Saccharomyces cerevisiae S288C: one gene and its partners. Changing the gene in region 1 together with any one later gene gives a genetic interaction. Each region holds a gene or a part of one and is shown in the gene's direction. Other genes may lie near its edges. The genes, in order: YKE2, BFA1, CHL4 and AHC1.

Evidence for each region.
Region 2: mutations in YKE2 (region 1) and BFA1 together harm fitness more than expected from each alone (negative genetic interaction), as found in Saccharomyces cerevisiae (5 studies listed by BioGRID, with this or other methods).
Region 3: mutations in YKE2 (region 1) and CHL4 together harm fitness more than expected from each alone (negative genetic interaction), as found in Saccharomyces cerevisiae (7 studies listed by BioGRID, with this or other methods).
Region 4: mutations in YKE2 (region 1) and AHC1 together harm fitness more than expected from each alone (negative genetic interaction), as found in Saccharomyces cerevisiae (5 studies listed by BioGRID, with this or other methods).

What each region holds. Positions count from the first base shown.
Region 1 is NC_001144.5:546,985-549,856, forward strand, and holds YKE2 (tubulin-binding prefolding complex subunit YKE2), read left to right. Parts: upstream 1-2,027; coding exon 2,028-2,372; downstream 2,373-2,872. Other genes in the region: snoRNP complex protein NOP56, read left to right, coding at 1-627; PBA1 (Pba1p), read right to left, coding at 869-1,693, 1,780-1,785; ubiquinone biosynthesis protein COQ9, read right to left, coding at 2,527-2,872. UniProt on the Saccharomyces cerevisiae protein: Binds specifically to cytosolic chaperonin (c-CPN) and transfers target proteins to it. Binds to nascent polypeptide chain and promotes folding in an environment in which there are many competing pathways for nonnative proteins.
Region 2 is NC_001142.9:532,279-536,275, forward strand, and holds BFA1 (Bfa1p), read left to right. Parts: upstream 1-1,748; coding exon 1,749-3,473; downstream 3,474-3,997. Other genes in the region: UV-damaged DNA-binding protein RAD7, read left to right, coding at 1-1,481; KCH1 (Kch1p), read left to right, coding at 3,778-3,997. UniProt on the Saccharomyces cerevisiae protein: Part of a checkpoint which monitors spindle integrity and prevents premature exit from mitosis. This cell-cycle arrest depends upon inhibition of the G-protein TEM1 by the BFA1/BUB2 complex.
Region 3 is NC_001136.10:963,383-967,060, forward strand, and holds CHL4 (Chl4p), read left to right. Parts: upstream 1-1,730; coding exon 1,731-3,107; downstream 3,108-3,678. Other genes in the region: CCR4-NOT core subunit BTT1, read left to right, coding at 30-479; MET32 (Met32p), read right to left, coding at 608-1,183; ubiquitin-protein ligase RMD5, read right to left, coding at 3,175-3,678. UniProt on the Saccharomyces cerevisiae protein: Component of the kinetochore, a multiprotein complex that assembles on centromeric DNA and attaches chromosomes to spindle microtubules, mediating chromosome segregation and sister chromatid segregation during meiosis and mitosis.
Region 4 is NC_001147.6:375,473-379,392, reverse strand, and holds AHC1 (Ahc1p), read left to right. Parts: upstream 1-1,680; coding exon 1,681-3,381; downstream 3,382-3,920. Other genes in the region: NAD-dependent histone deacetylase HST3, read right to left, coding at 1-1,174; DDL1 (putative carboxylic ester hydrolase), read left to right, coding at 3,536-3,920.

The sequences.
Region 1 (2,872 bases):
CACACTGTTGCACCAAACTTATCAGAATTGATTGGTGAAGTGATTGGTGCTAGATTAATTTCTCACGCAGGTTCCCTAACTAATTTATCTAAGCAAGCAGCTTCAACGGTTCAAATTCTTGGTGCTGAAAAGGCTTTGTTCAGAGCTTTAAAAACTAAAGGTAACACTCCAAAATACGGTTTGATTTACCACAGTGGTTTTATTTCTAAGGCCTCTGCCAAGAACAAGGGTCGTATTTCTAGATACTTGGCTAACAAATGTTCTATGGCCTCTAGAATTGACAATTACTCTGAGGAACCATCTAATGTTTTTGGTTCCGTACTAAAGAAACAAGTTGAGCAAAGATTAGAATTCTACAACACTGGTAAGCCAACTTTGAAGAATGAATTAGCCATTCAAGAAGCCATGGAACTTTATAACAAAGATAAACCAGCTGCAGAAGTGGAAGAAACCAAGGAAAAGGAATCCTCAAAGAAGAGAAAATTAGAAGATGATGATGAAGAAAAGAAGGAAAAGAAAGAGAAAAAATCGAAGAAGGAAAAGAAAGAAAAGAAGGAAAAGAAGGACAAAAAGGAAAAGAAAGATAAAAAGGAAAAGAAGGATAAAAAGAAGAAAAGTAAGGATTAAAAGGAACAATGAATCGAAATAAAGTATATCCCATCTTTTTGTGTACTTTTCTTCCCTTTAAAGTTTTTCATATATATATATATTATCTTTTATTCCCTTCTAATATTCTTCTTTAGGATTTGGAAGCTGTATATTGTATATTTAGAAATATTATTAAATAAAAAAGTCATATGTTATTTTGAGCTTAAGTACCCTCTTATGCCTCTTTCACTCGCCATTACTGACATTCTGTGATCGCCATTCATATATATAGGCCTGATTGTGCACCAATTGCCGCGCTATCACACCTCCATAAGCGATAGCATTCTTCAGAATATCTTGAAGGCTCAAAACCAAGCCATTGACCGCACAAATCAACTAAAGAACCCATGTCAGACAACGAAAGTTTCTCAAATCCATTAGGCCCCTCACTAGGCGCTACAAGACATTTAAATTTCAGTCCCTTACTGGGACCGACAATCAATTGTGTTAGCACACTTCCTATGAATCCCGTTATAAATTCTGGTGGTTGTAGTGTACATTCATTTTCCGTCATTACCTTCATGCTGGCGATTTTATCAGAGGTGCCAATTACTATTATATCAGGGGAGAACTGGGCTAACTGTGATATGATAGATCTACTTATCATGTTACCAAAAATCGGCGATATACTAATGAAATTCTCCTCCATAGAAAATAATAACGTCTTTCCAAATGAATAAATCGGGAAAGAAAAACCATATACTGTTTCATCGGCGGTGTCATTTTTTTGATCAGGATCAACCTCGTTTGGAAAGTTTTCGTCGTAATTCCACGAGTGTTTACCTGAAGATTGGGGAAGACTTGGACTTTTCACCGTCAATGTAGTTTTAATTTCACCAATAGAGGTTAATTGAAGCAGATTTTTGGGGAATAATGGGTTCATTATCTTAGTAGTAATGACGGCTGTCGAATATTGAGGAACATCCAAGTCCTGAGGAAACTCAACTTTTGGAACCGGGCAGACTTCTAAAGATTGCAGGTTTTTTGAAATCTCTGGGAGATCTAGCAGATGTTTTGGTTCTGGTAAGTCATTCCATTGTTTAAACTTCAAAAAGAATCAAGTAACATAAGTTAGTCAAACCACTCTACTCTAGCAAAATATGATGGGGAAAAAAGATTATTGTAACATACAAGCATCGCTATAAATGAAAATTTTACTGTAGTGCGATGATATCTTGGTCGCTGTTTCTTATTATTTCGCCTGTTGCCACCTATTGCCACGCAACTTCTTAAATTGATTTCAATGAAGTCTGAAATTTTGATGCGAAAGAAAAAAAAAAGTAAAGGCAATAAAACTTCATCAAGTCAAACGTCATCTATAAATAATCCCACTTCAGAATTGAAAAAGACTACATTTGAGTGGAGGAACAAAAGCAAAAATGTCTGAATTAGGTGCCAAATATCAACAGTTGCAAAATGAGTTAGAAGAGTTTATTGTGGCCAGACAAAAATTAGAGACACAATTACAAGAAAACAAGATTGTAAATGAAGAGTTTGACCAATTAGAAGAAGATACACCTGTGTACAAATTGACAGGCAATGTCCTTTTACCAGTTGAACAAAGTGAGGCACGTACCAACGTGGACAAAAGATTAGAGTTCATCGAAACAGAAATTACAAGATGCGAAAAGAACATAAGGGACAAGCAGGAAGAACTAGAAAAGATGAGAAGCGAGCTAATTAAACTGAACAATACAGCAGCTTCCACTGGCCCAGGAAGGTAAAACAAACTCACAGGTCCTCGGAAAGACAAGAAAGCGCACAGTACCAATAAATCTGCCCAAAATAAAATTTTCTTTTATATACAATTATGTAACTTACAAACAAAATACCTACGCATTTCACTGTCCTAAACTTCAAATTGACATGTAAGATTGCTTAACCCCTAACTAATTGAGATTTGATTAAATTTACCGTAGACATTAACGTATACCAGGCAAACTCTTCAGTATTGTTATAGTACTCACCCAAACGCATGACCCTATGTAATTTATCCTTTGCAAAAGTAAACGTTTCTTTGTAATTGTGGGATTTATCCTGAGCCATAAATAACTTTGAACCAATGTAGGTGCTCGAAACAGCCAATCTCTTAGCATACCATGCAGAATCATGGTGGTCCTTTTCGTTGGAAAAGTAAATCATATCATCGGACAATCTGTGTAGTTCAGGAATTGCAGTTTCAAAGAGAAAGGCGCTTGGAATAGCCAATTGTGACATTAGTTCC
Region 2 (3,997 bases), on another chromosome or scaffold:
TTGAAGATGAAGAAATTGATGAAATTGGAACAGGTAGTGGTACCGAGACAGAAAGAGCTCAGGTTTCCTACGATGCCAGGATGAAATTAGTCCCTGCTGATAGTGATGAAGAAGAATATGAAACTAGCCACATTTCTGACACGCCAGTCAGTTTAAGTTCGGCTAATGACCGGGAATCATTGACTAAAAAAAGGCAAAATACTGCAAAAATTATCCAAAATCGTCGCAGAAAGCGTAAAAGAGCAGCTGACCTATTGGATAGACGCGTCAACAAAGTATCCAGCTTACAAAGTCTTTGTATTACGAAAATTAGTGAAAATATATCCAAGTGGCAAAAAGAGGCTGATGAATCATCAAAGTTGGTATTTAACAAATTGAGAGATGTCCTTGGTGGCGTATCAACCGCTAATTTGAATAATTTGGCAAAAGCACTATCGAAGAATAGGGCCCTGAATGATCATACTCTGCAACTTTTCTTGAAGACAGATCTAAAAAGGTTAACTTTCAGCGATTGTTCTAAAATTTCATTTGATGGTTACAAAACGCTAGCCATTTTTTCGCCACACCTAACCGAATTATCCCTACAAATGTGTGGGCAGTTGAACCATGAATCATTGCTTTACATTGCTGAAAAGCTTCCGAACTTGAAATCACTGAATTTAGATGGACCATTTCTGATCAACGAGGACACATGGGAGAAGTTCTTTGTAATAATGAAAGGTAGATTAGAAGAGTTCCACATTTCTAATACGCACCGCTTCACCGACAAATCATTATCTAATTTATTGATCAACTGCGGTTCTACCTTGGTATCCTTAGGGTTATCCAGACTAGATTCTATATCAAATTACGCTTTATTACCGCAGTACCTAGTCAACGACGAATTTCACAGTCTCTGTATTGAATATCCATTCAATGAAGAGGATGTTAACGATGAGATCATCATAAATCTGCTAGGTCAAATCGGGCGCACGTTACGTAAATTGGTTTTGAATGGCTGTATTGACTTGACAGATTCAATGATAATCAATGGTCTGACTGCATTCATTCCTGAGAAATGTCCATTGGAGGTATTGAGCTTGGAAGAATCAGATCAGATCACTACAGATTCACTGTCGTACTTTTTCAGCAAAGTAGAACTGAATAATTTGATTGAATGCAGCTTTAGAAGATGTCTACAATTGGGCGATATGGCAATTATAGAGCTATTGCTTAACGGAGCAAGAGATAGTCTGAGAAGCTTAAATCTCAATTCATTAAAAGAGCTAACTAAGGAGGCATTTGTGGCGTTAGCCTGTCCTAATCTGACGTATCTTGATCTTGGTTTTGTACGTTGTGTTGATGACTCGGTGATTCAAATGTTGGGTGAGCAAAATCCGAATTTAACTGTAATTGATGTTTTCGGAGACAATTTGGTTACTGAAAAGGCCACAATGAGGCCTGGACTTACGTTGATAGGGAGACAGAGTGACAGTATATAATAAAATAAAGACATATAAAACGTGTATTAGATAGAAAACGGAAAATTGACTAATGTTTTTATTCCTATTATACTCAGATCGTCAAATGTTGCCTTTATTTTCTATTGAAGGGATTTTATGGCATCTCGCGAATAATAAACAAACAATAATAGTAAAAAAAAAAGTGTAAACTTATGTATTCAGCGCAGATAAAAGGAAAAAAACGAGAAGTTTGACGTAAAGAAAAAAGTTCGAAAACTTTTGTAGCAGTTGAAAGTTTTGTATGCTATGTCAATTAGGCCTCTCACGTTAAACGGTTTAGATGAGCCAGAAACCTCTTTTGAAGAACTGAATACAACTCTACCTCGCTTTCAATCCCATGAAACATTAACTTTGGAAGAAAACGTGCCACCATTGAGTACATCAACTTATATACCGCCTCCATCCTCGGTAGGTACTTCTGACACTGGCACGGTATTTTCCAATAGTACCAGCGCGTTTTGGTCTAATAAGCAAGCAGACGATGATCAGGACATGGAGGTAGACCAGGATGATGAATTTCTAAATGACTTCCAGGAATTCCAAAATAAAAAGGATGATTTTGACGATGCTATTAAAACAAATTTTCATTTGAGAAATGGATGTCGAACTGGCCCTTTCAAAAACGACATTTTCGCAGAAGAGTTTGATAGAAAACTGAGTTTGGAAGATAAACCAAGGCTAAAGCAACCTAGATCAATGATGGAATTGAAACCAAAAAGAAAACTATCAAATAGCGTCACTTCAAGAAACTTAAGGTCTGGTAATTCTGTAAGATTTAAGAAATCTATGCCTAACTTAGCTTTAGTTAATCCAGCTATCAGAGAAGAAGAAGAGGACGAAGAACGAGAAAGAGAAGATCAACGAGAGTTTAATTACAAGATTGATAACGATACGCAGGACACAATTTTGGCGAAATTCAGTTCAGATGATGAAGGTGACTTTCTGACAGGATTTGAAGAATTAGAGGGTGAAGCAATTGATGAAACGATTTCTTCGAACGATAAAGAAAGTGCCGACCATCCGCGTTTCTTAAAGAAGTCATCCTCATCTTTGCCATTAAAAATATCACCTGCACAATATGATATAGTAAAGCATGACGAATTATTAACTCCAGGTCTTCATAGGCGACAACGAGATTGGAATACCCAGCAGGAACTGGACTCTTTTAAAGAAAAACGATCAGTAAGACACTGTTCTAATCAAAATGTACAACTCAATGGTCCAGCTAAAATCAAAACAATAAAACAGCAAATTGATCATAATACTCCAATGAAGAAAGGTTCTATGATATATAACCCGAAAACTATGAAGTGGGAAGGAAATGAAAACGTCTTAAGCAAATTTAGTGATGTAGACACGGCAAACAGGAAAGCTTTATTGATAAAAAACAAGCTACAACGAGATGCAGATTCTAAGAAGCAAAAATATTCTGATCTACAGCATGCAAGAGCCACTTCGAGAAATCAAAAGGTCATCGGGAACATGATTTTAGATGAACAAAATTTAAGATGGGTTAGTGTTTCAGAGGAAGAAGCAGACCCTTTTGCAGGCATTCCTGAGATAAACTTACCACCAGTTGGCAAAAGTATGAAAAAACGTAGCTCCTCACCATTTTTGCGTTCCAAAAGCCAAGTTAATACGCCATTTGTTTCAAATGACAATGATGGCGTTTATCAAAGTACGGCTGCTCAAGCAAGACTCCGTAAATACCATTCAATGAGGACACTTAACGGTACAACAGAAACTCCAGAAATAAGCTCTACTTTCCATTTGAGTTCAAGAGCATTGGAAAAATTTTACCACGAGGAGAACAGGTGGTGTAAAAAGTTAGCCTCATGGTTTATACCCCGAGATGAGACCATTATCAGTGTTGATGAGGAAACAATCATGGATGAAAGTACGGTCAATAGCAAGAGAAAATCCTATATGTATGAAATCAGGAACATGGTAATCAATTCGACAAAAGATTAGCCCTTTAGCCTTCTTATAACTGTTTCTTTACCGTTATCTTGAGTACATTCATTTCTCTTACATTCCAAAATTAGATAGAACCTTGAATCGTGTCAACTTTTCGCCGACATTTCGCGTCTGACAGAAAAAGAAATGTTGCAGAAAATTCGAATAGATGTTTCAAATGAAAATAGACCATGAGGGACACATTAACATTTCAAACAAAAGAGCCCTTGATGATTATTAAAACAGATCTTTATGGTTTGTTTAGCAAACACTTTGGTAATTTCATGAATATTTGACTAGCAGGAACAGAAAATCAAAAATGTTTAACCATGATTGGAAGTACTCCATTAATTCTAAGACTTTCGCCGATTTAAACATTGAATTATTTCGAAACCACAAGTTCAAAACTGTTTTAAATTACATAATAGGTGTAGTTGGGTGGAATGGATTAAAACTCGCCCTTTTTGTTTCTGACATTTACACATGTATCAAATTGCTGGCATTCAACTCCTGGTCAAACAACATCATCAAACCATACT
Region 3 (3,678 bases), on another chromosome or scaffold:
TAAACTACTACATAATCCTACAACATCAAATGCCTGTAGATCAAGAAAAATTAGCTAAGCTGCACAAGTTATCAGCAGCAAACAAAGTTGGTGGTACCAGAAGGAAAATAAACAAGAAAGGTAATTTATATAATAACAATGACAAGGATAATACCAAGTTACAAGCTGAACTTCATAAACTGCATCCAATGACCATTGAAAACGTTGCCGAAGCAAATTTTTTCAAAAAGAATGGCAAGGTTTTACATTTTAACAGTGCAGTTGTACAGATTGCCCCTCAATGCAATCTCACAATGATTCATGGCCAACCGAAAGAGAATACACTTAATGGGCTGTATCCGAGCGTAGCCTCTCAATTAGGTAGCCAAGAACTTGAGTATTTGACAGGTTTGGCTCATAACCTAGAAAATGAACAGACGGTGCTCGACCAGCTGGGCGACAGATGCAGCGAGACAAAACAACAAGTGATGAATAGCTGACATAGTTCATAATAATTGCCAGTAAACGTTATAGCTAGTGGCGAATGTCGAAGTGGAAATGCTATCACATTAATGTTGCAGATGAATATATATTTTCTTATTTGAGAAGATACACGCTATTTACTCTTTCAGCCATTACTGCTACCATTGTGGTTGTTATCTTGACGATGAACGATGTTGGATTGCTTGACTTTTTTCAGTAATTCATTGATACCCTCACCACCCGCAGTTAGTAATTTAGTCCTGTTTCTCCTACATGTCAGTGTATCATAATGTCTTTTCAATGCATCTTTCCTTGCAAAACCTTTGCCACATTGAGGACAAATGTTAGGCAATATGGCGAAGTGTGTCTTTTCGTGCCTTCTCAAATCTGATGATCTTGAAAATTCCAACGAACATTTCGCACATTTAAATCTTTTTTCACCAGTACTATTTCTACGATCTTGGGGTTTGCTTTTGCTGGACTTCGGTGGTTTTGGTAATGCGTTTTCCTTTTTAACCTTTATGTTACCGCCTTGACTATTTATATCAACACCATTTTCTGCCGGTATGAGTGCTGGTTTTTTATTTTGTAACCTGTTTTGCCTATTCCTTACCCTTTCTAATAACTCTTTTATTATAGGATCTATGTTATCTATATTTAATGATACATCCACTATTGCTTCTGTAGCCTGTTTGATAAATGCAGCATCCTGATCCTCCATTTGGTACTTTTTTGAAATTTATAATACCTCTTGACTTTTTTCCACTATATTATTAACAAATTCTTGGCATATGACATGAAACCCTATTCAATTATCCAGATGCATACATATATACCATGGATAGATATGTATATCTACTATATCTATATATACCTCGTCAATGTAATGAGGAAAGTTCCGAGGGCGACAAAGAGAACAAATATAGTTTTATTTATAATAATGATACAGAACTCAAGATTATTTCCTGCTTATTTTAAACTAAAAGTATAGCAAGTTCTAACCCACAATCAGGTTCTTTATTATTGTCAAGAAAATATAAACTGTGGCGTACTAAGCGTACTAAGTAAGGGACGAAAAACCATCACAAAATGTCACGTGCATGTTAGTCCAGTCGGGCAATAGATAGGGACTGTAAATTAAAGTTTATATTGAAATAAACAAAGGTAAATGGTAAAAGATTAGAAGCATAGAAAGCATCTGGCGTTATTTTAGCGGGGAAAGATTTTGGTGGATACTATCTTTGACTAGTATATTTGAGTAGCAATTAATGTCTAACGAATTACGGCTTGAAGATAACTATGTACCAACTTCCGACACACTAGTAGTTTTCAAACAATTGATGAAGCTGCCGGTAACGGTATTATATGATCTTACGCTATCATGGTTCGCAAAATTCGGTGGGTCATTTGATGGTGACATATATTTATTGACAGAAACATTAGACTTACTGATTGAGAAAGGCGTGAGGCGAAATGTTATAGTAAATAGGATATTATACGTATACTGGCCGGATGGCCTGAATGTTTTCCAATTAGCAGAAATAGATTGCCATTTAATGATAAGTAAACCAGAGAAATTTAAGTGGCTTCCATCAAAAGCTTTACGGGGAGATGGGAAACCTTACGTAGTAAAGCTCCAACCTGCCAAATTTATAGAAAATTTACAAACAGATCTAGCGAAAATTTACCATTGTCATGTTTACATGTTTAAACATCCCTCTTTGCCAGTGTTAATTACCAGAATACAGCTATTTGACAGCAATAATTTATTTTTGAGTACGCCTAATATAGGGAGTATAAATAAAGAGTCTCTTTACAACAAGTTAGACAAATTCCAAGGGAAACCATTAATATCAAGGAGACCATATTACGTTGCATTCCCGCTAAATTCTCCAATAATTTTCCATTCAGTTGACAAGGATATTTATGCTAGACTAGTTTTGCAGAGCATTAGTCGAACGATATCAGAAAGAGAAACAATCATCTTCAAACCGGTACAGAAAATACCCGTGAAATCAATACATAATATAATGACTTTATTAGGACCTTCGAGATTTGCGGAGTCTATGGGCCCATGGGAATGTTATGCTAGTGCTAACTTTGAACGGTCACCACTACACGACTACAAAAAGCACCAAGGCCTTACTGGTAAAAAGGTAATGGTTAGAGAATTTGATGATTCTTTCTTAAATGACGATGAGAATTTTTACGGAAAAGAAGAACCTGAAATTAGACGACTAAGGTTAGAGAAAAACATGATCAAATTCAAAGGTTCAGCAAACGGCGTAATGGATCAGAAATATAATGATTTGAAAGAATTTAACGAACATGTCCACAATATTAGGAATGGAAAGAAAAATGAAGATTCTGGTGAGCCAGTGTACATTTCTAGATACAGTTCCTTAGTTCCTATTGAAAAAGTTGGATTCACTTTAAAAAACGAAATAAACAGTAGAATAATTACCATAAAATTGAAATTTAATGGTAATGATATTTTTGGGGGATTACACGAACTATGCGATAAAAATTTAATAAATATTGATAAAGTTCCTGGGTGGTTGGCTGGAGAAAATGGATCGTTCTCAGGAACGATAATGAATGGAGATTTTCAGCGAGAGCAGGTTGCTAAAGGTGGTTTACTGTAGAAAACTACTGTGTTCTGTTATCGCTTCCAATAAAAAAAAAAAAAAAAAACCTATGCAAAAATTTCAGTCAAAGCATAACAAAACGAACCTTTTTTGTACTGCTCATTGAAGTATTTACGGGGCAGTATGGGCACTTGAAAGTAATTGTTCCGTTCTTCGATAATCTGTCTAGCGCCTTTTTAGAAATGATGTGATGGCATGCCAGTGAATAAGGAGGATTTTCTGTAGTGGTTTCCTCCTTTAAGACGGGACAGATGAAGATCGGATGGAAATGAGTCAGAAAATCTGGTAACTTGACATCAAATGGCAACTCATCTTTCGTAGTCCAGTCAACGTGCGCTAACTCCCTGATGGTTTTGTATTTGATGAAAAATTGGAAAGAAATTAAACCACTCAATACTATCAAAAACAAGGGAGAGTCAAAGAAAATATGTTTTGCAGCACAATATTCTTTTATAAATAACGACGTGCATTCTTTTAATTCCTTATTTACTTTAGAATCAATATCTTCAATAGGTTGACCTATTAGCGATTTAGTTAATAATGGTACGACGTTTTGCATTAATTCCTT
Region 4 (3,920 bases), on another chromosome or scaffold:
TCCCCTGGGCAGTTCGTAGAGGGGTTGTTGGGGGGGTTCCGATTGAGTCTTTTTGGGCCTTCATTTGCTTTCTCAAGTCGCTCGCCTCCCTTTTTAACTGTCTTAACTTCTTAATTTGATCTTGCGTCTTGAAGAAATCTGGTATTTGGGATTCAAGAAATGTGACCCAATTATCACAATCTGAGTGGATTTGGTAGTCTATAATGCCGTGCCAAGAGGATTCGCCAATGGGTGTCTTGTTTACGAGAATGATCAGGCCGCCACGATCGTGAATTTTCTTACTTAATTTTTTTACCAGTTGTTTCACACCATCAACTTTCAAACTTGTACCCATGATGATCAAAAAATCAGGATTGCCTTTAATTATGTCAAGATTTAGGCCTTGCGTAATAATTTCACAGGATGGATGGTTTTCACCATACAGGACGATATTAGGTCTTAGAATACCCACATTAGAACCAAGAGTTCGCTTTCCTTCATTCAATCTCTTGTTGATAAGTGCTTCGCAATCCGGACACAATGGTAACTCACCTCTTCTTAGACAACGAGACCAGTACCTGCTCCAGGGAAAAGTCTGGAAGCACTTTGTACACGAAAGAGTTTTCAGGTCGCCGTGCAACTGAACGACATCCAGATTTTTCCAATGTGAACTAAATGAGGTAAGCGGTAATTTCCTATTTGATAAAGTAAGTCCTATGCTTTCTTCGAGCCCATCGATGTTTTGCGTGTAACAGCGCAGCAGTTTGTTCCTATCTTTTAGATGCGCAATGAACTTGTGCGTCTTAGTCGGCTTTGCCAATTGAACATTTGAATAGAGCCTCTCCATAAATTTAGCAAAAATGGATATTTTGAAGTCATCTCTAAATAGCGAAATATCAAACATTTCCCTGCCGGACTTGATAGACCAATACTGTGAACAATCCTTTTTCACTAGGTCGTAGAGCCCATCAGAAGAGCGAAAGTCAGGAATGCCCGCGTTGCACGAAATGCCTGCCCCAGTCAGACAAGCAATTCTCCTAGATCTGCTCAACTGCTTGGTTACGCGCCGGAGAACTTCATCGTCGGCATCAAGACCTATAATATGTGCCAGTTTCTCAGTCTGCAAAGAGGACGGTAAGTCGGAGCACATTGAGCCCGATCGACTGGCAGGTGGCGAGGGCGATACTGAAGTCATTTTTGAGAAAGATGGATCTAGTTGTATGTAAATTAATCCCTTCAGTTTTTACACCACTAACCACGTATTTGCCCTTGCTTGTGTTATATATAAGACGTACGCCAGATATAGTTCTCTGGCACGAATAACATTGCTTGCTTTTATTGACGTTTTACCCTTTGTGGTAACAGCAAACATAAACGTCGTTCGTGATGTTGAGTTACTTATTGTTACCCGCAATTGAGGGATACCCGCCACAGAAACACATGCAGTGCATTTGCCACTGTGCATAGCCGTAGGAAGAGGGAAAAACGAACAGGGAAGAAGCAGGAAGAGCAGACAGCAAGAACCCGTGCTAAGGAAGGTGATGAACTTTGGCCACTGAAGGCGCATTTTACCTCTGAAGGATCCCGTTTCCACATTTGTAAGCTAGTGTTCGTTCATATAAACACCCTGATCTTCGGCATTTCACTACTCTTCGGGCTCACGCTTCTCATCCAACACTTTGTGTATATGTCCATCTCCTCATGATGAGTCCCGCCCAAGATAAACTGCAGCACCAGCATCATAATCCTAATTCTTCCTCATCGTCATCCTCTAAGATGACGAACGTTTATCAGGTTACCACGCCAAAGTCTCCTCAGGATTTGGAAAACAACATGGATGAGCCCTTCAAAATGGACACCGCCACCAGTAATCCGGACAAGGATAGCGAAAATACCCAGCGGTTGAAGTACGAATGTGCCAAAGGGGAAATACAGAATGTTTTGAACCTACATATAATGCTAAACCACAAGCATGTTAGGCACTTACGAAGAAATGTTCAAAAGGTTAACGCAAAACTAGCTCTCTTGGAAACCCTGCATAAGGATACTGGTCTATTGAACAAAATCGAACGGACGTATCAACTCAAAATAAAACAACATCAGCAGCATAGCGTGCTCGGCGGCCACTTTCACGACAGTACGGCTACGGAAAATACGAACGCATCAAATTATAACCTGTCATACCCGGTTCTATCGGATTATAACATCAACTGTCAGCCTTTGTCTTCGAGCAGCAACAGAAATCTGTCAACAACACGCATACCACACCACCATTATCATACTAGAAGCAAGAGTAACGGGCTTTTGCTAGAACCTTCTGCCCTCCGTCCGGCAAATTCGAATATAATTGATTACAGGCTAACAGGTTCTAAATCTCTATCAGAAGCCATAACCAAGCCCACTCCCGTCTCGCTTCCTCACTCTAATTCGGATGGCATTTCTTCACCTCGTTCCTCCTCAATCTCCCCCTTAGACGAGCAGCCGGGGTTCCAGATACTCCCTTTTAAACCAAGTCAGATGCATCTTAACCACAGACGTAATTACAGTAGCACTTGTTTGACGAGCAATAGCGGTATCATCGGTAAGACTGAAAATAATGAGCCCATTTTTAGAAGATATGACGGCATTTTGGTTATAATTACGTGCTCCAAATGTGACCGTTCCGGTTTCACTTCCGCGCAAGGTATCGTGAACCATACTCGACTAAAACATTCTAAACTATATTCAAGCCAACCATTGGCAGTTTTAAACAACCAAAAACTACTTCCTAATGATAAGCAGGATCCGGAAATTTTATCTAAGTTCAAGAAACTAAATTTGGACCCAAACAAAGACTACCTACCCTCTGACATTGCAATCCCAAAACCACAATCACCAATCAACCACTCCGAGAACCATACGCGGGCTCCAAAGACTGTCAAGAACACTCCTCATTTAGAAAAACTATACCAAAATAAAGAAGACTTCAAAAAACTGATTGACATGGTTAATGAAACTCCGGATGATTTGAATGAATATTTGAAGCAACGTGAAATTCAATTAAGATATCAAAAGGAGCAAGAAGAGGAATCTTCCAAATCTGATGACGAAGCTTCTTACGTCCCATCACCGTCTCTCTCAGCAACGGCTACAACAACAACGACTACGGACCCACCCTCTCCGCCAGTGCTATCCTCCTCCTTACAAAGAAAATTGCTGCGTAAGAGAAAACTGAGCTTGAATAGCTCTACTCCCATGGAAGATTTACCTTTAAGAGAAAGGTTGAGAGCAAATCCCACTGACAAGAAACCAAGAAAAGCGGCCCTTTTGACTAATGAACTTGAGGGTCCTGATCCTGCAGCAAAATCATCATCTTATTACAATCTAAGGTCGAAATCAAGACTGCGTGGTTCTCATACATAGTACACACATATAAATAAGTAAATTACGTAATATAATATTCTGTTGGTTTTCTGACCTAATTTGTCGCTTTGGAAGAAAAAGTGGATTGTATTTTTTTGCATATTCCCTAATATTGAAGATCACTGAATATACTCACAGTGAACAATTACTTGAAATGCTACGGTTTACTCATCGAGGCCTTCCCTCCAGCACTCGTTTTAGAAACATTTTCGTAAGGTTAAATCACATTTATGTACCATGGTTCTATGCCATAGACGTACCCAACTCCAAACCCTATTTACCCACATATCAAACTTTACACTCACCCAAAAAGTTTAAGCCGTTCTCCGTTGATGATTCTAATCGTTTGGAAAAGGCCAGTAAGCGTCAAGAACGCAGGCCTGTTTTAGTCAACGAAGATTACCTGTTTAAAGTCGACCTCTCTCACATGGAATTGTCCCCTACCTATTGGGAAGGCCCTACTTATCAAGTACGAAGAGGTGTGTGGTTCGACTCTTCAAATCAACCTTTGTCCAGTGATCTTACCTCCGAAATTGAAG